Linked DNA regions of Saccharomyces cerevisiae S288C. Changing the gene in region 2 together with the main gene of any one other region gives a genetic interaction. Each region holds a gene or a part of one and is shown on either strand. Other genes may lie near its edges.

The links.
Region 1: mutations in YDJ1 (region 2) and RET2 together harm fitness more than expected from each alone (negative genetic interaction), as found in Saccharomyces cerevisiae (4 studies listed by BioGRID).
Region 3: mutations in YDJ1 (region 2) and GET4 together harm fitness more than expected from each alone (negative genetic interaction), as found in Saccharomyces cerevisiae (4 studies listed by BioGRID, with this or other methods).
Region 4: mutations in YDJ1 (region 2) and STI1 together harm fitness more than expected from each alone (negative genetic interaction), as found in Saccharomyces cerevisiae (5 studies listed by BioGRID, with this or other methods).

What each region holds. Positions count from the first base shown.
Region 1 is NC_001138.5:247,277-253,548, forward strand, and holds RET2 (coatomer subunit delta), read right to left. Parts: upstream 4,528-6,272; coding exon 2,887-4,527; downstream 1-2,886. Other genes in the region: RMD8 (Rmd8p), read left to right, coding at 1-858; alpha-ketoglutarate dehydrogenase subunit KGD4, read left to right, coding at 1,247-1,618; PRE4 (proteasome core particle subunit beta 7), read right to left, coding at 1,790-2,590; proteasome regulatory particle lid subunit RPN12, read left to right, coding at 5,229-6,053. UniProt on the Saccharomyces cerevisiae protein: The coatomer is a cytosolic protein complex that binds to dilysine motifs and reversibly associates with Golgi non-clathrin-coated vesicles, which further mediate biosynthetic protein transport from the ER, via the Golgi up to the trans Golgi network.
Region 2 is NC_001146.8:502,982-508,840, forward strand, and holds YDJ1 (type I HSP40 co-chaperone YDJ1), read right to left. Parts: upstream 4,117-5,859; coding exon 2,887-4,116; downstream 1-2,886. Other genes in the region: AQR1 (Aqr1p), read left to right, coding at 743-2,503; MTQ1 (S-adenosylmethionine-dependent methyltransferase), read left to right, coding at 4,777-5,721; tRNA 1-methyladenosine methyltransferase subunit GCD10, read right to left, coding at 5,795-5,859. UniProt on the Saccharomyces cerevisiae protein: Probably involved in mitochondrial protein import. Is also required for efficient translocation of pre-pro-alpha-factor. Involved in heme regulation of HAP1, as a component of the high-molecular-weight (HMC) complex.
Region 3 is NC_001147.6:641,860-647,444, reverse strand, and holds GET4 (protein GET4), read left to right. Parts: upstream 1-3,112; coding exon 3,113-4,051; downstream 4,052-5,585. Other genes in the region: SWT1 (mRNA-processing endoribonuclease), read left to right, coding at 1-319; dynamin-like GTPase SEY1, read right to left, coding at 549-2,879; polyphosphatase DDP1, read right to left, coding at 4,138-4,704; YRR1 (Yrr1p), read left to right, coding at 5,453-5,585. UniProt on the Saccharomyces cerevisiae protein: May play a role in insertion of tail-anchored proteins into the endoplasmic reticulum membrane.
Region 4 is NC_001147.6:378,187-384,838, reverse strand, and holds STI1 (Hsp90 cochaperone STI1), read right to left. Parts: upstream 3,787-6,652; coding exon 2,017-3,786; downstream 1-2,016. Other genes in the region: YOR029W (uncharacterized protein), read right to left, coding at 1-239; CIN5 (Cin5p), read left to right, coding at 419-1,306; BUB3 (Bub3p), read right to left, coding at 4,033-5,058; NAD-dependent histone deacetylase HST3, read right to left, coding at 5,277-6,620. UniProt on the Saccharomyces cerevisiae protein: May play a role in mediating the heat shock response of some HSP70 genes. It is required for optimal growth of yeast cells at both low and high temperature.

The DNA.
Region 1 (6,272 bases), on a different chromosome or scaffold from region 2:
GATCAGTATGTACAGTCCTCTCGTTCACCAGCTTCGCCATCATCAATATCTACGCCATCGCCACCATCTTCATCACAGAATGATTTTGATCGTGTATATAAAATGCATAGGGACAACGACCATGAAGGCAATGATAGACATGCAGAAATTTTCATTTTTCACTATGGCGTTATTGTTTTTTGGAACTTTACTGAAATTCAAGAGAAAAATATTCTTGGTGATATAACATTTGCAGATTATAAGAATTTAATGATCCGGCCGCTGGATGAACAAGATATTGAAACTGAACAATTCCATTTCGAATATGACAGAGATACCGAGAGACCGAGAATTTTCAATGATATTGTCACATTACGTTCAGGTGACCACATTATCGAGCTGACACTATCACATGCGATTGCGCAATCTTCGAAATTATCAAGGTTTGAATCCAGAATTTCGCCGATTTTAATATCAGTCACAAAACTACCTAAAAGACTAGCATTATATGGTACCCTTGGGTTAAAAAGGGAACAGCTTTTGAAAAAATCAGGGAAGCTCTTTAAATTGAGAGTGGATGTTAACCTTTCATCCACCATATTGGATACACCCGAGTTTTTTTGGTCGTTCGAACCAAGTTTGCATCCACTGTACGTGGCAATGAGGGAGTATTTAGAAATTGACCAAAGAGTACAAGTATTAAATGATCGTTGCAAAGTTTTCTTGGAATTCTTTGATATATGCGTTGACTCTGTTGCTGAAAGAAACATGGCTCGTGTTACATGGTGGTTTATTCTTGTCATTTTATTTGGAGTTATATTTTCATTAACAGAGATTTTCGTTCGTTATGTAATTATTCATCGTCATACTTCTACATAGATATTCATACACCCTTCTAGACGGCATTAAAAATAAATTAATGATATATTTAGTTATCAAGGTTTTTAGTCATATATTTCACCGTTATTACCATTCTTGGTCACGTGCAAGTAAAACCACTCGTTGATTGGCTCCCCTCAAGATTGCATTAAAAGTACAATAATATGACTAAGGGACTCGAATATGTAAATTCATCTTTCGCATCAACAAAGGAGAAAAAGACGATAGTGAAGACTAATATTTTAGCCAGATTGCAGTGTTTCAGTGATCTTAAAAGTCTTTTTCATTTCTAGCCGCATTGAATTCTTTAAAGCAAACCATTAAGGAGTACTTCCCCAGGTTTTTAACCGATAATAAGAGTAAGATAAAAGTACAAGAAGACAGGGAAATGATTGCTACACCTATAAGATTAGCAAAGAGTGCATATGAGCCGATGATAAAATTCGTCGGTACAAGGCATCCCTTAGTGAAGCATGCAACTGAGGTCGTTGTTCATCCTTGCGCTACCAACGGAATGTTACCTGGCAGCAAAGAGTGTATTCCAGTGAGTAAATTCATGGAAAATTATAAACCATTCCGTGTAGTGCCAATAAAGCATAGCGCTAATGCTGGTCTCAGCTCGTCAAAGACCTCTGTATTCGTTAACAGGCCATTGCAAAAAGATGAGCTTGCTTCCATTTTCGAGCTACCTGCTAGGTTTCGGTACAAACCTATTAACGAGCATGAATTGGAGAGCATAAATAGCGGTGGTGCATGGTGAAGGATAGATGCAGTAATATTATGATTTTTTTTTGTTATTTTATAGTTTCTTTACACATATCATTATATCTATGTAAAAACGTAGTTACTTAGGAAGAGAGAAGAGTGATGATATTATGAATTGAAAAATAAAAATAAAATGAGTATTTAATGAAGGTGGGATAAAACTCTTCTAAATTTTTTGAGTACCGTAGCCTTTAATATCCTTGGCGAAGTCCCATTTCATGTTTTCAACTTGCAAGTTTTTCTTGAAAGTTAAACCTGTGTTCTTATCAATTATGGCCAGTGAGAAGTTTCTAGAAGAACGGGCATCTCTATAATAAAGAACTCTCATTGCATTTACGATCGCCTCTTCAGCAACCTGTACAGTGGTCTTTGGAATATCAGATTCTCGATCTACAACTTTCCTTAACAGTGGGTTTGCCATGTGTGCCCCAAAACCTGTGGCCAAGGTGGGAGACGAATACGTAACACCTAGAAGATTTACGTATCTTAGGAATTGATCACCATTAGACTGTACACCAGCAACAATGATGGCATTCCAAAGTGGATTCATCTTTGATCTTCGCTGGTACATGACGGTAGCTAGATATTCAAAAATATAGCTGGGTTCGAGCGCTTCTTCAGCATCCGCTAGAGGATTGTCATACGCATTTTCAGTGACTAGATCTTTCAATAATCTCTCAATGTGTTGCATATCAGAAATATCACCTGAAATGCCCACAACGGTGTTATCACCCACGGGAATAAGCCTCTCCACGCCATTGAATCTTAGAAGAGAGCCATATGAACCTAAATTATCTGCTGCAATGATAACCCCATTATCATATTTCATTGATATGACGGAAGTACCTGTTACTATTGGTTGCTGTGTATTAACCATGGGAGAGGCGCCTGCGTTCGCAATTTGTGTATTGTAAGCACCATAAGTAGAGTCTGCGGGCCTGCCCCAACTGAAAGGATCGTGATTCATTCGTGTGGGTTTTTATGTTGTTTTCGGCGGAAGATGAAGGATTCCTGCTGCTTATCCCCTTTCTTAACTTAGCTGTACTTTACTATGTGGGTACGTATTTAAGGTGGCAAATTCTAAACCAAGAAGCTGGAACATCTTTAATAAAAAGGATTGACGGGTAACCCTAAAAGGAAAAATAATAAAGAATAAGAGTAAGTTAAACTATATATATAGAAGGACGAAAGAAAAGATACCTCGATTTTTATTTATTTAGTTTGTGTATATAACTTAAGTATTTTATATGTGAATGTAACGTACTATTGGACAAGATATTCATCTGATTTCAAAGAGGTGATGACGTCGTAAGGGAGCTCTTGATCGTGGTCATTGGCCATGACAACAGATTGTATGGCCATACCGGTGAAACTCTTAGCTAATTTATCCCTCGTGGACTCTTGGAAGGAAACGGTCATTGGGTACAATGCATCTTCATATGGAGCTTCGATAGTGAATGCTAGCGCACCTGCATCGTTGGCAGCAATTTTGCTAATCTTAATGGAGGTTCCCATTTCTTGGTCCATGTTGACAACTTCAGCGTCAGAGCATGTAGAAGACTCTGTATTTATGTCTACTGGCTCCTGAGGGAAAACTGGAATGGTGAAGATCACATCAGCGAGTTCTGTTTCCAGGACGCTCTCATACTCAATAATGACATCAAAGCCCTGTTGTGATTCGGAGGGGGAAACCCATGTAGTTAGAGTTAATGGAATTAATGAGTCATCTTCTGCGGGAGCGACTTTACGCCATCTTAGAACACCCAGGCTTTGGTCGTTGGCTGGGAAAGCCTTAGATTTATCACGCAGGGAGATAAGTTTAGTGGATAGGAACGATTGTTTATCTATGTTTGGATGGGTCTTAAACTGGAAGGATTTATCGCGAACGTCAATAGAATCAGCTAGTTTTAGGTTCGAGTGAGATAAGTCATGGTCATTAATTCTTAGTTCTAAAACACCTTTCAATTCAGAAGAGTGAATGGTACCATCTCTGGAGAATTCTGCATTGATTACCTCCTTGATAGAGATCAAAATACCATTGTTCTCTGGGACATCCTCCTCCGGAGGAGGTGGAGTGCCAGAAGAGGCTGAAGAAATTGCACTTGGCCGTGGTGCGGCACCCGCTCTTCTTCCGGCACCACCACCCAATTTCATACCGCCAGTAGCAGAATGTCCCGCACGCTGAGACGTAGCCATTGGGGAGGCCACTGGGGCCACCTCAGCAGCAGCGGCATGGGAACTTTGTAGATAAGACTGTTGTGCTGCAGGAGAAGCATGGGAGTAGTAACTGTTGATGGCGTTTGTAACGTTAGGATCTTTACTTCCCATGAACCTATTGGCGCCGTCGTAATCGCCATTTGAAGACATAAACCCGTGTTTCCTTTCATGTTCTTTTCTAGCAATTTCCTTAGCACGGCGCTTCCTCTCCTCAGTAGCTTCGATCTCTTTATTACGCTCAATAATTTCCTGGATTCTTTCTTCGTGCGACTCCATAGACAAGTATGTTTGCACTTGAGTAAAGGACAAGTTCTCTTTGTACCCGCCCATTGACACGATTTCGTCGAACGAGGACAAGATCTCAAAGGCATTGTGAAAAATCTCTTGGTCTTGGAAACTAGACAAGTAGGAGTTGATCGTCTGTGAAAACAGATTTAATGTGGCCAAATCCTTGATAATATTGGACTGGCGGTTTGTGATAAGAATAATGTAGTAGTTATCAAAGGGCCTATACACGTAGCGGACGTGCTTGTCCTCGACAAATGTGTGGTCTGACGAGATCTCGGAGACTAGGTTCTGGAAATTGGACAGCAACTCTAGGACTCGATCCTTGGACAGATCTTTGAATTGCCTGGACAAGAGAGGTTTCCCCTGACGCGTAGTGATAGAAGCAGCCAAAACCACCATTGTGTATTTCTTTTGATGGAGCTATAGGTATTCTAATATGATCTATATTCGACGCTGAGGCTAATTGCCCTTGTTCTTGAGGTGTCAACAACCAGATTTTCTAATTTTTCGCTGGCTGTTGCTGGAAAAATGTAAACGCGCAGGGCGGGTAATAATAAAAGTTGAACTATGAAGAACAATAGAAACGCCAAGGTTTACTGACAGAGACATGTTTTAATTCAAGTGATGAGGCGGAAACGTGCAAGATCCTAAATGAAGGATAAAAAGAGTTCTTAAAAAGGGAAGTAAGGAATAACAGAGTAGAAAAACCGAAAAGACAACTTAACAAATCGGCAACACTTTTATGGGGCCCCGCTCGCCTGTGTGCAAGTAGTATTCGACCTGGAACACGCATTTACCACGAGAAGACAGCAATAGTCCGTACAACATTAATTAGTTTCGACAATTGCTCGCCTTTATAAGCCATGCTAGTGCCCAATCAAACACTTTACTTGCCCTGAAGTTCCTTTTTTCGCTAGCCTGTAACTTAAATAAGCCATCTAACCTTTTTTTTCTAAAAATTTTCTTTATTACCCTGTCGGCTTATTTTCTATTCTACACATTATTTGCCACCCATTGAAATTGTAGCTTGTATTAATAGGGAAAAGCCGGAAGTATAACCGGTGGAAAGTACTATTGAAGTGAGATAAGAAGCCATCGTAATGCCCTCGTTAGCCGAATTGACCAAGTCGTTAAGCATAGCCTTTGAAAACGGCGATTATGCCGCGTGTGAGAAGCTCTTGCCCCCTATCAAGATCGAACTTATCAAGAATAACCTTTTAATACCTGACTTATCCATTCAAAATGACATCTATTTGAATGATTTGATGATTACTAAAAGGATCCTGGAAGTAGGTGCCCTTGCTAGCATCCAAACTTTCAATTTTGACAGCTTCGAGAATTACTTCAACCAATTGAAGCCTTACTACTTTAGCAACAATCATAAATTATCTGAATCTGACAAGAAATCGAAGCTGATAAGTCTGTATTTGTTGAACTTATTGTCTCAGAATAACACAACCAAGTTTCACTCGGAATTGCAGTATCTAGATAAACATATCAAGAACTTGGAAGACGATTCACTTTTGTCTTACCCTATCAAACTAGACAGATGGCTCATGGAAGGGTCGTACCAGAAAGCATGGGATCTTCTGCAATCTGGGTCGCAGAATATATCAGAATTCGACTCTTTTACCGATATCCTAAAATCAGCTATAAGAGACGAAATTGCTAAAAATACCGAGCTATCCTACGACTTTCTCCCTCTCTCCAACATAAAGGCTTTGCTCTTTTTCAACAACGAAAAAGAAACTGAAAAATTTGCACTAGAGAGAAACTGGCCTATTGTCAACTCGAAAGTTTACTTCAATAACCAATCAAAGGAGAAAGCTGATTACGAAGATGAAATGATGCATGAAGAAGACCAAAAGACAAACATTATCGAAAAAGCAATGGATTATGCCATAAGTATTGAAAATATTGTGTAATATTTGTATATATAATATGTGCACAAAATTACTACAAAATAAACAACTTTTTCTCTCCCGGAGAACAAAGTAAGTGGAAAAAATTATACTAATAACAATCTAAAAATGTTTATTAGCTAGGATTATACACATAAATATATATATATGTGTGTGTCTATATTTACATATACTAGACCGCAAAAAAAACATAAGGGCATCACTCATAAGAATAATAATATT
Region 2 (5,859 bases):
CACCTCTTCTTTCATTGTCCTAAAAACCACCCAAAAAAAAAAAAAAGACATCAAATCTCTTTTTTTTTTTTTTGTAGTTCTGTTGCCGTATGCTATCTACTCCTAAGGCTTTTTTCTACTACGGCAATCTATTCACAATGTGCAATTAGGCTAAATGCTAAAAAAAGAAAAAAAAATCCGGAGCCCCTCGATGACTCCTGTTTCCGTTTTATACTGTCCAGCGCAGACCGCACTTCCTACGTATACTTCTTACGGGGAAGGGAGCATACACGAAAACAAAAGGACCCGTAATGACTCGGAAACTCCATAGATCGGTAAATACCGGCTCGTTACCCGTCCTCCATCGGAAAATCTCTCACCGATTTGTTCCGGTATCGGATAATTTATGAATCACCCGGCTTGATGGAACCGTTTTTGTTCCGTGAAATGCCCGGCCTGCATTGTTTTCTTCAGACGAGAAGCCGTTCCAACGTTTCTTTTTCTCGTCACCGGGAAGTTGCGGGCACCTTAGGGCAAGGAAAAAGAAACTTCTCTGCCCTCATCGAGGATACAGTTGATCATACTCAATATTATATAACGCTTAACACTGTCAAGGTTATACACTTTTTACTAACTTTTTATTGCTAATATTGTCGTTCTATATAAAATTATGGATTTTTCCAGGCTTACAAAGTTAGCATTTATACGGAGATAAATTTATTTTTTTGAGAATCCAAGCTAGATTCAGAAAGTCGAATCAGCAATGTCACGAAGTAACAGTATATACACAGAAGATATTGAGATGTATCCTACTCACAATGAGCAGCATCTGACGAGAGAATACACAAAACCAGATGGTCAAACGAAAAGTGAAAAACTAAATTTCGAAGGCGCTTATATCAACAGTCACGGGACTCTATCCAAGACTACCACAAGGGAAATAGAAGGCGATTTAGACTCTGAGACTTCTTCTCACTCCAGTGATGATAAAGTTGATCCAACCCAACAGATAACTGCAGAGACAAAAGCGCCATATACTTTACTAAGTTACGGTCAGAAGTGGGGAATGGTTGCAATTCTAACAATGTGTGGCTTTTGGTCTTCATTGGGATCACCGATCTATTATCCCGCTTTGAGGCAGTTGGAAAAGCAATTTAATGTGGATGAAAATATGGTTAACGTTACTGTGGTTGTGTATCTGTTGTTTCAAGGTATATCTCCCACAGTTAGCGGTGGTCTGGCGGATTGCTTTGGACGGAGACCTATAATTTTAGCAGGTATGCTGATATACGTTATTGCATCCATCGGGCTAGCATGTGCTCCATCATACGGTGTTATTATCTTCTTGAGGTGTATTCAGAGTATTGGTATTTCCCCCACAATTGCAATCAGTTCTGGTGTTGTCGGGGACTTCACTTTGAAGCATGAAAGAGGTACATTTGTTGGCGCCACCTCAGGGTTTGTTTTACTGGGTCAATGTTTTGGTAGTCTTATTGGTGCCGTCCTGACTGCAAGGTGGGATTGGAGAGCTATCTTTTGGTTTTTGACCATTGGTTGTGGAAGTTGTTTTCTAATTGCCTTTCTTATTTTGCCAGAAACAAAGCGAACCATTGCAGGTAACCTTTCCATTAAGCCTAAAAGATTCATCAACAGAGCGCCGATTTTCCTACTGGGCCCAGTTAGAAGGAGATTCAAGTACGATAATCCTGATTATGAGACATTAGATCCCACCATTCCGAAACTAGATTTGTCATCCGCCGGGAAGATCCTTGTATTGCCAGAAATTATTCTGTCTTTATTTCCATCAGGGCTCTTATTTGCTATGTGGACGTTAATGCTTTCCTCTATTTCATCCGGTTTATCAGTGGCGCCATACAACTATCATTTGGTCATTATTGGTGTGTGTTATCTACCCGGTGGTATTGGCGGTTTAATGGGTTCCTTCTTCACAGGTAGAATTATTGACATGTATTTCAAGAGAAAGATCAAGAAATTCGAGCAAGACAAAGCTAACGGGTTGATTCCACAAGACGCAGAGATTAATATGTTCAAAGTCCGTTTAGTTTGTCTTCTGCCCCAAAATTTCTTGGCCGTCGTAGCCTATCTTTTATTTGGTTGGAGTATAGATAAGGGCTGGAGGATCGAATCTATTTTAATTACTTCATTTGTCTGTTCATACTGTGCTATGAGTACATTATCAACATCAACTACGTTATTGGTCGATTTGTACCCAACGAAATCATCTACAGCAAGTAGTTGTTTCAACTTTGTTAGGTGCAGTTTGAGTACCATCTTCATGGGTTGCTTTGCCAAAATGAAAGCTGCGATGACTGTAGGTGGTACTTTTACATTTTTATGTGCGCTGGTATTTTTCTTCAACTTCTTAATGTTTATTCCGATGAAATATGGTATGAAGTGGAGGGAGGATAGATTATTGAAACAACAAAGACAGTCTTGGTTAAACACCTTGGCAGTCAAAGCCAAAAAGGGAACAAAAAGAGACCAGAACGATAATCATAATTAATTGGCATTCTTCAATTTGATAGACACTTATCCCTGCATATTTTTTTTATAAACAGCTTATAGACTTTCATGTAAATTTTTCCTAATTAATGTATTATTTACTTCGTTAATTTTCCGTTGAATTATTGACATGTTAAAGGTGCACTAAATATACCTAATACAAAAAATGGTTTTCTGTGGCAAATATATACAGTGGAAATTTCAGCATATAATCCCTGCTTTACTCTTTCCTTAAGATTTCGTCATAATTAGAACTTTTTTTGGTAAACTGCATTTTCTACCATTATTACTTTACATATGTATAGCTACAAAACTGTATTTTGAAGTGAAAAGTATGATGAATAAATGAATCGTGAATAAGTTGATCTTTTTTTATCAAGAAAATCATTGAGATGCACATTGAACACCTTCGCCACCTTGTTCTTCTTCATCGGAATCATAGTTTGCACCACCCCTGGAGGCCCGTGTTCTGTTGTATTTGGCTGGGTCAAAGTCTGCGAGTACACATTCGTCCACAGTAGCTTTCTTTGGAATGGCTGGGACAATTCTTGGAGGCAAAATTTCTTCTAACTTCTTCAAGTTTTCTTCTGATGTGAAATGGTTTTCTGGGAACTTGATAGTAAATTTGATGATTAAATTACCATAGCCACCGTATTTTGGAATTGGCATACCTTTACCTTCGATGACCTTACGCATACCTGGGGCAATAACTTCACCTGGAACAATACCGACCTTTAACCAATCACCAGAAACATGTTCCAATGCAAATTCACCACCAGCGATAGCAGTCAATAGATCAATTTCAGCCTCATATACTAAATCATCACCATCTCTCTTGAAGCTCTTGTGTGGTCTCTCAGAAACTATGAAGACAACATCACCTGGAATGACATCTGGGGCTTGGTCAGCTTCACCTTTGAAAACGATTCTTTGACCATCTTTCATACCTGGTTCGACATGGACTTCTAGGATCTTCCTTTCGTTTTCAACTTTCTTACCGTTACAAGATTTACAACGATCCTTAGGATCAATGATATCACCAGTACCGTGACAGACATCACACTCTGTTTGGAATCTTTGGATCATTGGACCCATTTGTCTTGTTACAAATTTAATACCTTGACCATTACAGCTGGTACACTTCTTGACGGCGCCTTTCTTACCACCACGACCTTCACATTCTTTACATAGGATCTGTTTGTTAAGGGCTAACTTAGCTGTCCTACCCTTATATAATTCTTCAAGTGAGGCAGAAATTTCATGCTTGATATCTTTACCTCTTTGGGGACCTCTTGGTCTTTGTGCGCCACCAGCACCAAAGAATTGGGAAAAGATATCGTCACCAAAACCGAATCCACCACCTGGGAATCCGCCAGCGCCACCAGCACCACTTAGACCATCTTCACCAAATTGGTCATATATATCTCTCTTTTCAGGATCTGATAAAATTTCATAGGCTGCTGAAGCTTCTTTGAACTTTTCTGCAGCTTCCTCACTTGGATTCTTATCTGGATGGTATTTTAAGGCGCATTTTCTATAAGCTTTCTTAATTTCGACATCAGTGGCAGTTACTGGAACACCTAGAATATCGTAAAACTTAGTTTCTTTAACCATCTTTGGACGTTTATTATTGTTGTTGGAAGATGTAGAATTCAGTTTGGATAATTTTTAATTATGTTCTATCAAAAGATATGGTAACAAATAACAAAAAAATAAATACGTAACAGTTATCAAATAAGACGCTTGTTCGGGCCTAATATATATGGGGAAAAGGACTTTTTGTGACTTTGATTTATAAAAACGAACTACACACCTTATCAAACAAGAACTACCTAACCAACATATAAACGTAGAGCAAGTTTTTACACGTTTTATAAGTACGTGGATTGATCTGCAAGTTAAATACTTTCCATACCTGCCGATGCTCTATTGCCTTTTCATTTCTTGAAAAAGAAATGAAAAAATTTTCTATTTTTTCGATGGCCTTCTATAATTTTGTACGAAATATTATAGGTCAGGTGTATATCACGTGCTCAAACCAGCGACTTCACATCTTATTTTATACCAACATACTCATTATAACAATGTATTCCATAGTTGAATACACACAACTCAAACGTGTATAAACGACTTTATTTTGCCGACTCTCTACGGTCAATGTCTTGTTACGTTTTCAAGTGCTTTTAGAAACTCTGCACTCTCTTCCCCTTAACTCGTAGACAAGGAGCGATAGTTGAATGGTAGGAACGAAAAAGAAACGGTTAGAAAGAACATATGCCTCGAATATCTACATCATTGATAAGAAAAGCTTCGAGAATACGACCTGGTTTGCATCTTTTGCTTCCAGAATGTAGGACTCTCGAGCAAGCGAAACTCGAGTACAAATGGCTCACCGAAGAGCTGCCTCCGGATAAATCAATCCGCTGGGCTTGCTTACAGAGATACAAACACGTCCCATTGCAGTACATCTTAAGATCGCAACCGTTTGGGGCCTTGGACATAGTTTGCAAGCCTGGTGTTCTTATACCAAGATGGGAAACCGAGGAATGGGTGATGGCCATAATAAGAGCTCTAAACAACTCTATGCTTTCAAGGCATACTATACCACTGCATATTTGTGATACGTTTACAGGAACAGGGTGTATTGCTCTCGCTTTGAGTCATGGTATAGCAAATTGCACGTTCACTGCCATTGACGTGTCAACAAGAGCAATTAAGTTGGTTAAAGAAAATATGCTGAAAAACAAGGTGAGTGGTGGTAAGCTCGTGCAACATAATATATTGTCCTCAAAAGCTAGCGATGAATATCCATCCCATATAGATATATTAACCGGTAACCCCCCCTACATTCGAAAGCGTGACTTCAATAGAGATGTTAAAACTTCCGTAAAGCTGTTCGAACCAAGGCTAGCGCTAGTGGGTGAGCTTGAATGCTATATAAATCTAGTAAATTATTGGCTGCCGAAGACAGACTCCTTCTTTTATGAGATTGGAGACGTTGAACAGTTTAATTACGTGGAGAGGCGCATTAAAGAAGATTCATATCTCAGCCGTATTTGGTCTATTGGTTTGAAATATGACTCGAATGGGAAAGCAAGAGTCGTATATGGGTTTAAGGCCACTCCCAAAGGGCGAATACTACACCAGATTTTTGCATCCTTTGGGACTATAAGACATTTAGCAACCGCACTCAGTGGGCACAAAGCTAATTGCAACTAAGTATATAAATGTAAATATATATATTCTCAGGTTTTTTTGTTGGAAGTTATCAAACGGAACACTCTGTGGACATTTATATTTTTTGTTTCTTAGCTCCATGTTCAGCAAGCTTTTCACTGGAGTCAGCTGCAGTCGCGT
Region 3 (5,585 bases), on a different chromosome or scaffold from region 2:
TGGTGAAGATATTGGATTCATAGATTACAACCCAGATAAATTAACTACCATAGAAAACGCTTCGAATTACATTTATTTGTTTTGGGTGTCTGTATTTTCGGAACTTTTCACTTGTTCAAAGATAAAGAAGAATGAGTGGAAGAGCTTACCAACAGTTTTGAAATCAAAACCGACAAATCTGAATGACTTAAGAACATTTGAACAATTTTGGGAGACTGTATTGCATTTTTTATTCAGCAAATTCACAAATGAGGAGAAACAATCTTTAGAGAAACAGATTCATGAATGGAAAACATCTATCAATGCTATATCAACCTGAAATGTTTTGCTTAGTGTAAATCTATCAGATTTATTGAAGCCACTCACACAACTCATAAGCTTGCGATATGCATTTGCATATATTTTTAATGTCATATAAATAGTTCCCTATAGTTATATACAAACACACAGACACGTTAGGAGAACAGTAATTATAATAATAACTATAATAACAAAAAAGTAAACACGGTAAATTGAAATAAATTATTCGATCAAAAAATATTTTCATATCATTTTTCTTTTTGCTCGTTTTTTGAGAAATCTTTCATTTCAAAAGATTCCTTCACTTCATGATCTTCAACGACAAATTGCCTTAGTTTATCCTTTATTGCAGTTCTTGTTTCACCAACTGCACTTTGAACAACATTAACAACAGGGCCCCAGAGGCCGAACTTATGAATAACAAAAAAGGTTGCACCTAAGATCAAGGTAAGGGTTACAAATAAGGGGTTTCTTATGACAGCCACGAATTCGTTCCACCCTAATACGGCTAGCAAAACGTAAATCCAAGGTGGAATATGCGTTCTAGTAGTGATGATAGACCTTTTCGAATCCAGAACAGTAATGTTAATCTGCCTGCGGAATTGATCTAAAACATTCTCCTTTTGCAATTCAGTCAAGATGTGTGCGAAACGACGGGAATGAAACACACCTTCGTTGTCCCGATATATTTCGTTGTCCTCGCCGCTTTCCTCTTCAGCCATTGGTACATCAGGAATAATTTCAACGTTATCTGAGGTTACAGCAAGTGAAAGAACCTCAAAAACTTCCAGGGCATGTTCTTTTGCAACACGGAATGCCCCATCAATCTCTTCTTCTGTTTTCCACAATCTTGGAGAACCTTCAGCATCATATCTGAATACATCTTCAAACCTGTCTCTCAATATACTAACAATCGTATCTATTTTCAGGTAGTCATGTACTGTGGTATCCAAGGTTCTCCACGCCAATATTCTAATATTTTTGTAAATCTTCGCGTTTTCGCTCTCTGAAAGTCCAATTTTAAAATCATATTTATCTTTTTCCACTTGATACGCAGATATATTGTCTTTGATAGTAGATTCAAAATCGTTCATTATATCATCCCAAACCTTTTTGGATGGATGTGATAGTAAATGAATCACATGATCCTTTAATTCGGGAACCAGATTTTTTTTAATACGACCGATTTTTGCTTTCAATTCAGCATCACGTAGTTGCTTGATTCTTTCTTCAATATCGTCGGAAAATTTGCAGGTAATCTCTTCGTTTGATATTAGTAGCCCTAACTTTTTGAAGGTCTCCATTGATTCGTTAAATTCTTTCTCAATCTTACTCTTACCTGCCGCCACACTTTCTACAAAAGAGGTAGTAGCTTTGTCTCTAGAAGACACCTCCAATTTTAAATCGTCCCATAACTTTTCCATTAATGATTCCAAGAACTCATTAATTGTACCTGAAATATGTGAATTCAGCTTTGTATTTAAAGCTTCTCGTTTCTCCATATAAACGTTTCTTGCATAGCGCGATGCTTGTTCATCATATTTTGTCAGACATTCTTCTTTTAGCTTCACTAGCTGAGATGTTAAAGATCCCAAGTTACCCTTTAAAGGAGCAATCGATTCATCATATTTTGAAATGAACTCTTCTAGAGCTTCATTAGATATTTCTTCAGTTTTAAATCTAGCAACCAGAATTTGCTGAGTTGGAAGATCTAAATCCTTGTTACGTTCAATTTGATCCCAACAATTTTCTGCGTACATAGTCCAACCATCTAATGGCAACCTATGGTGATATTGAGGTTTGAAATAATAGTTTTCCGTACCTTTCATCACAAACGAATCACCTAATTTCTTGACATCCTGGGTAAATTTGTCTTCTTGCAACAACTTATGAGCTAGCCCGACAAACTTTAAATCGAAATAATCATACAGGCTAGAACCCTCACAACCAGCAGGTTTACTTAACTCTGTCCATATTTTTTCCAATTCTCTCGTAACGGAATCACTCAAACTCGAGAGTGGAGTCACACCTACATGATCTCTAATTACAAAAAGTAACAGCACCTTGTGGTCATTATCATTCTTGCCAAATAGGGAAAGGTTGACCTCAAAAACTGTTTTTAATAAAGCCATATTATTACCTTGATATAGCCCAATTTGCTGCTCCCACATATTAACTATAAGAACTTCAGATACTGCAATGGCAAATAAAGCGGCTTTTCTCTCAAAATCTTGGTCTTCACCTCTTTCTGAACCATCGGAGCCCTCAACATCTAGCACAAAAATATCTGGACGATCATTATCGATTTCAATAGTTGTATTAACCTGTTTAGTGTGAGCCAACCAAATGCCTTTAGTAGTCTGCTGCCTTTTCACCTGAGCATCCATGGTATCAAAGTTGGTGTTAAACAAGACGTTAAGTAAAGTCGATTTACCACTCGATTGAGAACCGAAAACTGAGATGACATGGTAATCTAGACCAACATCACGATTTCCAATACATTGTTGAAAATATTGTAATGCACTTTGATGAAATTCCTTCTCTTCATCTATCAACTGAATAGCAGGTCTATCAGCCATGACTAAAGTATGTCAACCGTCGAGTGAGTTAGTAGCCCGTTTGTTGAAATAAGTCAATAATTATTTACCATCAAAATACACCTTTCAGTATTTTGTTCGTTTTGTCGCTCTTCGTTAAGGTAACAAACAATGGGAAAAAAAGTGAAAGGAAAGTCAAAAAAATGAAATAATAACATGTGCGGTAAAACAACCAAGTAAACATCATAAAGGGACATAAATAATAATAACAAGCTATGGTTCCTGCTGAATCTAATGCTGTACAAGCGAAACTCGCTAAAACCTTACAAAGATTCGAAAATAAGATCAAAGCTGGAGATTATTACGAAGCGCATCAAACGTTGAGAACTATTGCTAATAGATATGTTAGAAGTAAATCATACGAGCATGCCATAGAACTAATTAGTCAAGGGGCCCTTTCATTTTTAAAGGCGAAGCAGGGCGGTTCAGGCACGGATTTGATCTTCTATCTTTTAGAAGTTTATGATTTAGCGGAAGTTAAAGTTGATGACATCTCAGTTGCTAGATTGGTTAGATTAATAGCCGAATTGGATCCTAGCGAGCCCAATTTAAAGGACGTTATTACTGGTATGAACAATTGGTCTATCAAATTTAGTGAATACAAATTTGGAGATCCTTACTTGCACAACACCATTGGTAGCAAACTATTAGAGGGAGATTTCGTTTATGAAGCTGAGAGATATTTTATGTTAGGTACACATGATTCAATGATCAAATATGTCGATTTACTATGGGACTGGTTATGCCAAGTTGATGATATCGAAGATAGCACGGTGGCTGAGTTCTTCAGCAGATTGGTTTTCAACTATTTATTCATCTCTAACATATCATTTGCACATGAATCAAAAGACATTTTTTTGGAAAGATTTATTGAGAAATTTCACCCCAAGTACGAGAAAATTGATAAAAATGGTTATGAAATAGTTTTTTTTGAAGATTATTCCGACCTAAATTTTTTGCAATTGTTGCTAATTACCTGTCAGACTAAGGATAAGAGCTATTTCTTGAATTTAAAGAACCATTATTTAGATTTTTCTCAAGCTTACAAAAGTGAGTTAGAATTTTTGGGCCAGGAATATTTCAATATTGTTGCTCCTAAACAAACGAATTTCCTACAAGACATGATGTCGGGATTCCTGGGCGGATCGAAGTGAAAAGAGCATATTTGCGAAGGAATAGATAAATATGTTTGCGGTGGCTTGACGACCATGACGTATATACATATATATGTATGTGCTAGCTATTTGTCGTCTTTAATGATAGCAGACCTATTAAGGGCCTCCAACAATTCAGGCCTCTTGGCGTCTATCAAGTTTTGTTTAGCTTCTGTATAAGAGTATAGCTTTCTATGTCTTTTGTGACATTCCGGAAATTTATCAAGGAGATTTTCAATCTCTAATTCATAAAAATGAAATTCGGTTCTTGGCGGGTGCTTTGCTACTTCTGAATCTTTTCGAGAGTTCTCGAATTGCTTAATGTCTTTGTTCCAGTCCTTAGGGGGTCTCATGTCTTCAACTGTACCCAAATTGGCGACAATTTTACCTATGCAACCAGCTTCCTCCCAAGTTTCTCGTTGGGCAGTCGTCTCGTAATTAGGCTCGTCTTTCTCAACGCCACCTTTGGGGACAATCCATCTTTTCTTGTGTGCAGAAGAAGTAATCATGAGAACTTGCTTCTTGTCGGGTGTTAAACATATGCAGCCAGCAACTAATCTTGCACCTGTAACGGGTGAGTAAACCTGGTTTTCTCTTCCTTCACGTGCTGTCTCAGAACGTACTGGACCATGATTATCCGCGGTTTTGCCCATTTTGTGTTTCCCCACGCTCTTATACTCCTACGTACTCACTGTTCCTGACCTTTCAGGCGTTATTTCAGTGTGATTTCATGTCTTAAAGTTGAGGCTTCCCTTTACACTATTTACCTCCGCGAGACGTTTGAGAATTAAGCCGCACGTGCTCGCCGCAGATGTTCTTTCAACGACAAGAGAACACCATGCTCCTACTATTTACGCATTATTTACACAGTATACCTTTCTGATGATGAAGTTTGAAGGTTTAAATTCTGGGCAGTAGCTGTTTTTACGGTTGTCTCAATATTTCTCATTCTGCTTTATAATCACGGGAGTATGACAGCATTACCAATCTCTATCAAGATGAAGAAAGATGAGCATGATCGTTTTAAGCTCACATGGAAGCTGTAGTTATTACCAGTATATCCTCTTTATATATAGCGAATGTAGATTTCTGCCAGTATCATACTGGCAGAAATCATAGTGAACGGAGTTAAATCCGCGGAAATTAGAAAAACGTTAAAAGGTTCCATGCCATATTACTAATGGGGTAGAGGCTGATATACGGGGAAAAGGATAACAATACCAAGACATTTATAGTATTCCACATCACTAGACGTATGTAATAGACAACTTCCCCTTGGAATTACCAAAACGCCAAAAATTCGGAATTACAAGAGAAAAGTTAGATCAAAGGAACAACAAGATCAACGAGAAAGTGGGAAAGTTTATTGCCCTCAGCCGTGCCAATAAGAATAGCGTCACAATGAAAAGAAGAAGCGATGCTTTGTTGGGAAGTTTCCAGGCCACCAACGTTACGCCGCCAAGCGATAATAGTAATAGTACGGCCGGTGGAGCCAATGGAAGTAACTCAGGAACACCAACTTCTACTAGCGGTA
Region 4 (6,652 bases), on a different chromosome or scaffold from region 2:
CGGAAATACCACGGCGCTGAAAAAAAAAAAATCGGAACCGGAGTTGCCTCACCGATCCCAATGGTGACATGCAAAGAAAATTTTATTGGCATTAAATCTATGAGGAAGAGGGTAGGAAGGAGTACTAGGCAAAAATCGTAACTAGGAGCAGAAGGCGAGTAAAACCCTTTCAATACTAGGGAGAGAGTGATTTGATAAGGATACCTCCTCACTCGAGAACTAGTTGATGTCTGCATCATTACCAAAGTTCATGTATATAAAAAAGGAACTGGGTGATTTATTTTTTCTCACGCATTCTGCTTACAAATAATTCATTAGATAATTTTACTGATTAACTACGACTTTTTGCAGCCGTTAATCTCATCATAGATATAGAATAACAGCTTGGAACAAGAAGGAAAACCAAAAACCTACTCAAATGTTAATGCAAATAAAAATGGACAATCATCCTTTTAATTTTCAACCTATTTTAGCTTCCCATTCAATGACAAGAGACAGTACAAAGCCAAAAAAAATGACGGATACCGCTTTCGTGCCAAGCCCTCCTGTAGGGTTTATTAAAGAGGAGAACAAGGCTGATTTGCATACAATTTCGGTAGTTGCTTCGAATGTGACTCTACCGCAAATTCAGCTCCCAAAGATTGCAACACTTGAAGAGCCTGGTTATGAGAGCAGAACTGGCTCACTTACAGATCTTTCTGGAAGAAGAAATTCTGTTAATATAGGAGCATTGTGTGAGGATGTTCCAAATACTGCGGGCCCACATATTGCAAGGCCGGTGACAATAAACAATTTGATTCCTCCGTCTTTACCAAGACTGAACACATACCAGCTTAGACCGCAACTATCAGATACTCATTTAAACTGTCACTTCAATTCTAATCCATACACCACTGCATCACACGCACCATTTGAATCTTCCTACACTACTGCATCTACATTTACTAGCCAACCGGCAGCTTCATATTTTCCCTCAAATAGTACCCCAGCTACGAGAAAAAATAGTGCCACGACTAACCTTCCTTCAGAGGAAAGACGTCGAGTTTCCGTTTCTCTTTCAGAGCAGGTTTTTAACGAAGGCGAAAGATATAACAATGATGGCCAGTTGATCGGTAAAACAGGCAAACCTTTAAGAAATACTAAGAGAGCTGCCCAAAATCGAAGCGCACAAAAGGCGTTTAGGCAGCGTCGTGAGAAATACATCAAAAATCTCGAAGAAAAATCAAAACTATTCGATGGCTTGATGAAAGAAAACAGTGAATTGAAAAAAATGATTGAATCATTAAAGTCGAAATTAAAAGAATAAAATAATGAATAATTATTAGTACTAGTAACATCTTAAAAGTTTTCAAAGCACATGGCAAGCACTTCTTCAGGGGGATGCAACCCCCCTTCTCCAAAGAAAATTGATGCCTAAGGTGGCGAAAATATTACGAGATAGGAAACAATTTATGGTTTCTAGTTTCAGGCAGCTTGTATTAGGTAATCAACAAAGCTTAATTTTCACCATTTTTATTTTCTTTCCTTCATCTCCCTTTTTTTATGGCAGGCACATTACTAAAAAGGAAAGAGTCAAGAGTGTAAAAATATACGTAGAAAATACATAGTAAGAAACGAAATTATATCATAGCAATTTGAAAAGTTTATTTCCCTAATTTTTTCAGCTTAGCGAATGTTGTCATGGAGCTTAGATATTCTCGCTTTTTTTTTTTCGCATTCTGATGTAATGAATATTGTTGACGTAAAGTTGTGCCAATTACGTAATTTTTTTTGTTTCTAAGGAGAGTTCCGGCCAGAAATTTCCTAGGGCTGATCCGGAGAACGACAGGAAAGATGGTCCGATGTTTTTTTCCCTCGCCCAAGAAACTTATTATCTTCAAGTTCCGATTTCTCAAATATCAACCATAGCATGAAACAAATTTAGTATACTAAGTGAGAAGATCATTATATGTACGTATGTATGAAAAAGCAGTAAAAAAAGAATTCAAGATAATAAAGTTATATTTCGTATTATTTTTAGCGGCCAGTCCGGATGATACCAGCAGCGATCAACGTCTGAATCTTTTTGAATACTTCTGGATTTTTCATGTGTTCTTGTAAAGCAGCGGGATTCTGTTGGGCCTGCTGCAAAATACTTTGCATAACAGGATCTTGCATGATCGCAGCCACTTCAGGATCTTTCATGGCCCTTTGATAGGTTTCTTCTGGGGTTTCGTTACTGGTACCAGGTTGGAATCTTTGTTGGCTTGCCTTGTAGTACAGTTGATCAATTTCCCTTGCACTAGAACCATTATTCACTTCAGCATCTTTGGTTCTGGCCGCATCTAGTGTTTCCAAAGCGGAAGCATATTCTTTAACAGCAATTTGTGCGGTGGCCTTTCTGATATAAGCTCTCACGAAATTTGGATCTTTTTCAATGGCTTTGTTACAATCTGCGATAGCTTCAGGGAAAGACATTAACTTCGCTAGTGCAGCAGCTCTATTAGAATATCCTCTAGCATCTTCAGGTGCCCTTTTGATCATTTCAGTGTAAGCCTTAACAGCATTCGGCCAATCACTCTTGGTAAAATATTCCTTACCTTCAAGACGGGCTTCCTCCGCCTTTTCAGGGTTAACATACGCCTCCGCCTCAGCTTTCTTCAATTCTTTTTCAGCATTCCTTAACTTGGTCAAAATGTCAGCAGTACGATGTTCGGTCAATGATTTTTGGTAGTATTCTATAGTTTTCTTCAAGTCACCCAATTTGTGATAGGCATTACCAATACGCGCAAATGATTTGGAAATGACCTTGTAATCCGCTCTCATTTCTCTACCTTGCTCAACAGCATCATTCAAGGTAGAAATAGCTGTCTCGTATTCGCCTTTTTCGTATTCAGCAGCAGCACGGTTGTTTAAATAGGTAATATCTTTATGCAGTTCCCACGCCTTGTTGTAGTGCTCTATAGCTTCATCGAATTGACGTGCCTTGTAAAACTTGTTACCTTCGGCCTTTTCCTTGTCGGCCTCAATTTTAGAGTCATCTTCATCAACTTCCATTGGCTCGGATTCCTTACTTTCTTCTTTCTGTGGTGCTTTAGAGGAATTTTCCTTGCTCGTAGTGGAATCGCTTTGTGGTTCAGCATCTTTCTTTTGTTCAGTGCTTTTACTGGTTTCCGGTTCCTTTGGCATGGAGTTTGATTGGTTTATATCATCCATGTTTAAATCAACCCCCATCAATGTAGCCATGATGGTCATTAATCTTGGATCAGTAAACAGATCTTGGCCAATAGCTTGCGGATTTTGTTTGTACCCAATCAGTTTAGCCACTAATTGAGGGTCCTTCATCATTTCGCTAGTTTTTGGGTTCTTCTTTAAATTTTCAATTAAATTTGGGTCAGCAAACAACTGTGTCAACCCTAAATCAGGCTGTGCCTGTCTTGCCTGTTGGGTACGATGAACCTGATCCAATCCTTCTTTGGCGGCCTTGTTACTGGCATCCAACTCCAAGGCTTTTTTGTAGTTGCTTTCAGCTTCGTCGAGATCGCCAAGACCTAAGTGGGCGGCACCGAGTCTATTATAACCCTTAGACCAAGATGGATTGATTTTGACACATTCATTAGCATCATTCAATGCGTCACTAAATTTCTTTAAAGAAGTATAACAGGCGGACCTGTTAGAATATAAAACATGGTTTGGAGTTTCAGAAACTTCAATAGCTTTAGTGAAGAGCTCTATCGCTTTATCGTAATCCTTAGCGGTAAATGCAGCGTTACCTTGTTGTTTGTATTCATCGGCTGTCAATGACATCTTTCTTGCGTATAGGTTGTTTTAGTAGCTACAGTGAGGAATTTGGGAGCAGACTTTTGGGCTTAAACAAGATACCTTAATAAGATGATTGATCTATATATAATTTTTCTAGCAGATCCTATTTACTTAATCTATGTATGTGATTTTTTCTTTATTCCTTAAAGGAGGAGAAGCGAAGAGAGAGCGATGAATCTGAATTTTTTTTCTGGAATGTTCTATCATACTACACGAATCTTCACGAAGATATCAGTTCTCATAGTCAAATATTATGTATATTGAACTTGCGTTTAGTTCAATAGTTTGGTCAATTGCGGCGTTTGTCTTGAAAGTATCATCAGAAGTTGCCAGACATAGAATATTGTCCGAACAAGCAATTTTAACCACGCTGTCTTCGTTAAATTTGGCGAAATTTTTTATTTTCTTGCGGGTTTGTAGGTTCCAGCATGAAATTATGCCATCAGAGCCAGCCGTGTATAGGAACTTATGACGGGGGGAAAATTCAATAGAATTTACTGGATACGCTAAGTTTGTATCTTTTAAATTCAAACGGTGGCATCTAAATGCAAATCTTTTGCTTGAGTTGTAATCATCGCCCTGATCATCGAAAAACTCCACAGCAACTCGCCCGTCAATGCTGCTACATGCATAACCTTCTTGTTCTTTCGGTAAAAGAGCGACATCTCTTATTTGGTACTTCAGTCCTGATTCTTCAATTGTTCCGTTATCATCCTCACAGAGTGGCAGGCGAAACCATTGAACCTGACTATTGTTCATACCAACGATCAATCGAGAGGAGTTTGTATCCATAGTAAATATCTTATTCTTCACCTTTGTGTTATTAGAGTTCAAATTTTTAACAGCAATAACTCCATCACCATAATTGCGAGGGTCGATAACCTCTATCAGGCCATCCCATGACGCGGCAATGAGTTTATCGTCTCCATATTTGCATATTCGGCAAATACCCAAATTGGCTTCATTGTTCGTCAAAGCTTGGAAGCTGGGACTACCTATCAAATCAACTTTTAGAATTTCACCCTGTACAGTTCCCACGTATATTTGCAGATCGGTATTGTCGATGAAATTGCAGCACAATAACGGATGTTTATATCGTAGCGATTGTAAAAGGTCAACATTCTTTGCTTGAATGTCGAATTTGTAGACTGTTAAAGAGCCATCCCAAGACGTAATCAAAAGCAGTGACTTGGAAGGGATTATTTTGATGTCGCTTATGTAGTCTTTTGGGGCCTGCTCAATTTGTACTATCTGCATGCCGCGACTGTTGTGTTTTCGTGTTGCAGATATCAGATAGCTTTTCTTTCGCGATGTGATATTTTTTTCGTTCACTATTTTTTGTATTCTCGGACATGCAGATCTCCGTTGGTATATGTATGAGTATATAAATGGAAGATAAATTAAACGGATGATATATTATGCAAAGGGGTGTCTGCCTCGATTATTTATCGTTAACTCAATTTTAATAGTTAAGTTTATGAGGCTTGGTTGTCACCGAAAGTTGGTCGTATCTTAGCGCGTTTTCTTGTATCCAAGTTTTCCTCTTCGTCTTCCTCACTGGAGTTTTCTGGTGACAGTATTTTTCTCTTAACTGTGTTTAACGACTTTATTTTTGTATTCAATTCGTTGTTTCCTTGAATATCAATCCCCTGGGCAGTTCGTAGAGGGGTTGTTGGGGGGGTTCCGATTGAGTCTTTTTGGGCCTTCATTTGCTTTCTCAAGTCGCTCGCCTCCCTTTTTAACTGTCTTAACTTCTTAATTTGATCTTGCGTCTTGAAGAAATCTGGTATTTGGGATTCAAGAAATGTGACCCAATTATCACAATCTGAGTGGATTTGGTAGTCTATAATGCCGTGCCAAGAGGATTCGCCAATGGGTGTCTTGTTTACGAGAATGATCAGGCCGCCACGATCGTGAATTTTCTTACTTAATTTTTTTACCAGTTGTTTCACACCATCAACTTTCAAACTTGTACCCATGATGATCAAAAAATCAGGATTGCCTTTAATTATGTCAAGATTTAGGCCTTGCGTAATAATTTCACAGGATGGATGGTTTTCACCATACAGGACGATATTAGGTCTTAGAATACCCACATTAGAACCAAGAGTTCGCTTTCCTTCATTCAATCTCTTGTTGATAAGTGCTTCGCAATCCGGACACAATGGTAACTCACCTCTTCTTAGACAACGAGACCAGTACCTGCTCCAGGGAAAAGTCTGGAAGCACTTTGTACACGAAAGAGTTTTCAGGTCGCCGTGCAACTGAACGACATCCAGATTTTTCCAATGTGAACTAAATGAGGTAAGCGGTAATTTCCTATTTGATAAAGTAAGTCCTATGCTTTCTTCGAGCCCATCGATGTTTTGCGTGTAACAGCGCAGCAGTTTGTTCCTATCTTTTAGATGCGCAATGAACTTGTGCGTCTTAGTCGGCTTTGCCAATTGAACATTTGAATAGAGCCTCTCCATAAATTTAGCAAAAATGGATATTTTGAAGTCATCTCTAAATAGCGAAATATCAAACATTTCCCTGCCGGACTTGATAGACCAATACTGTGAACAATCCTTTTTCACTAGGTCGTAGAGCCCATCAGAAGAGCGAAAGTCAGGAATGCCCGCGTTGCACGAAATGCCTGCCCCAGTCAGACAAGCAATTCTCCTAGATCTGCTCAACTGCTTGGTTACGCGCCGGAGAACTTCATCGTCGGCATCAAGACCTATAATATGTGCCAGTTTCTCAGTCTGCAAAGAGGACGGTAAGTCGGAGCACATTGAGCCCGATCGACTGGCAGGTGGCGAGGGCGATACTGAAGTCATTTTTGAGAAAGATGGATCTAGTTGTATGTAAA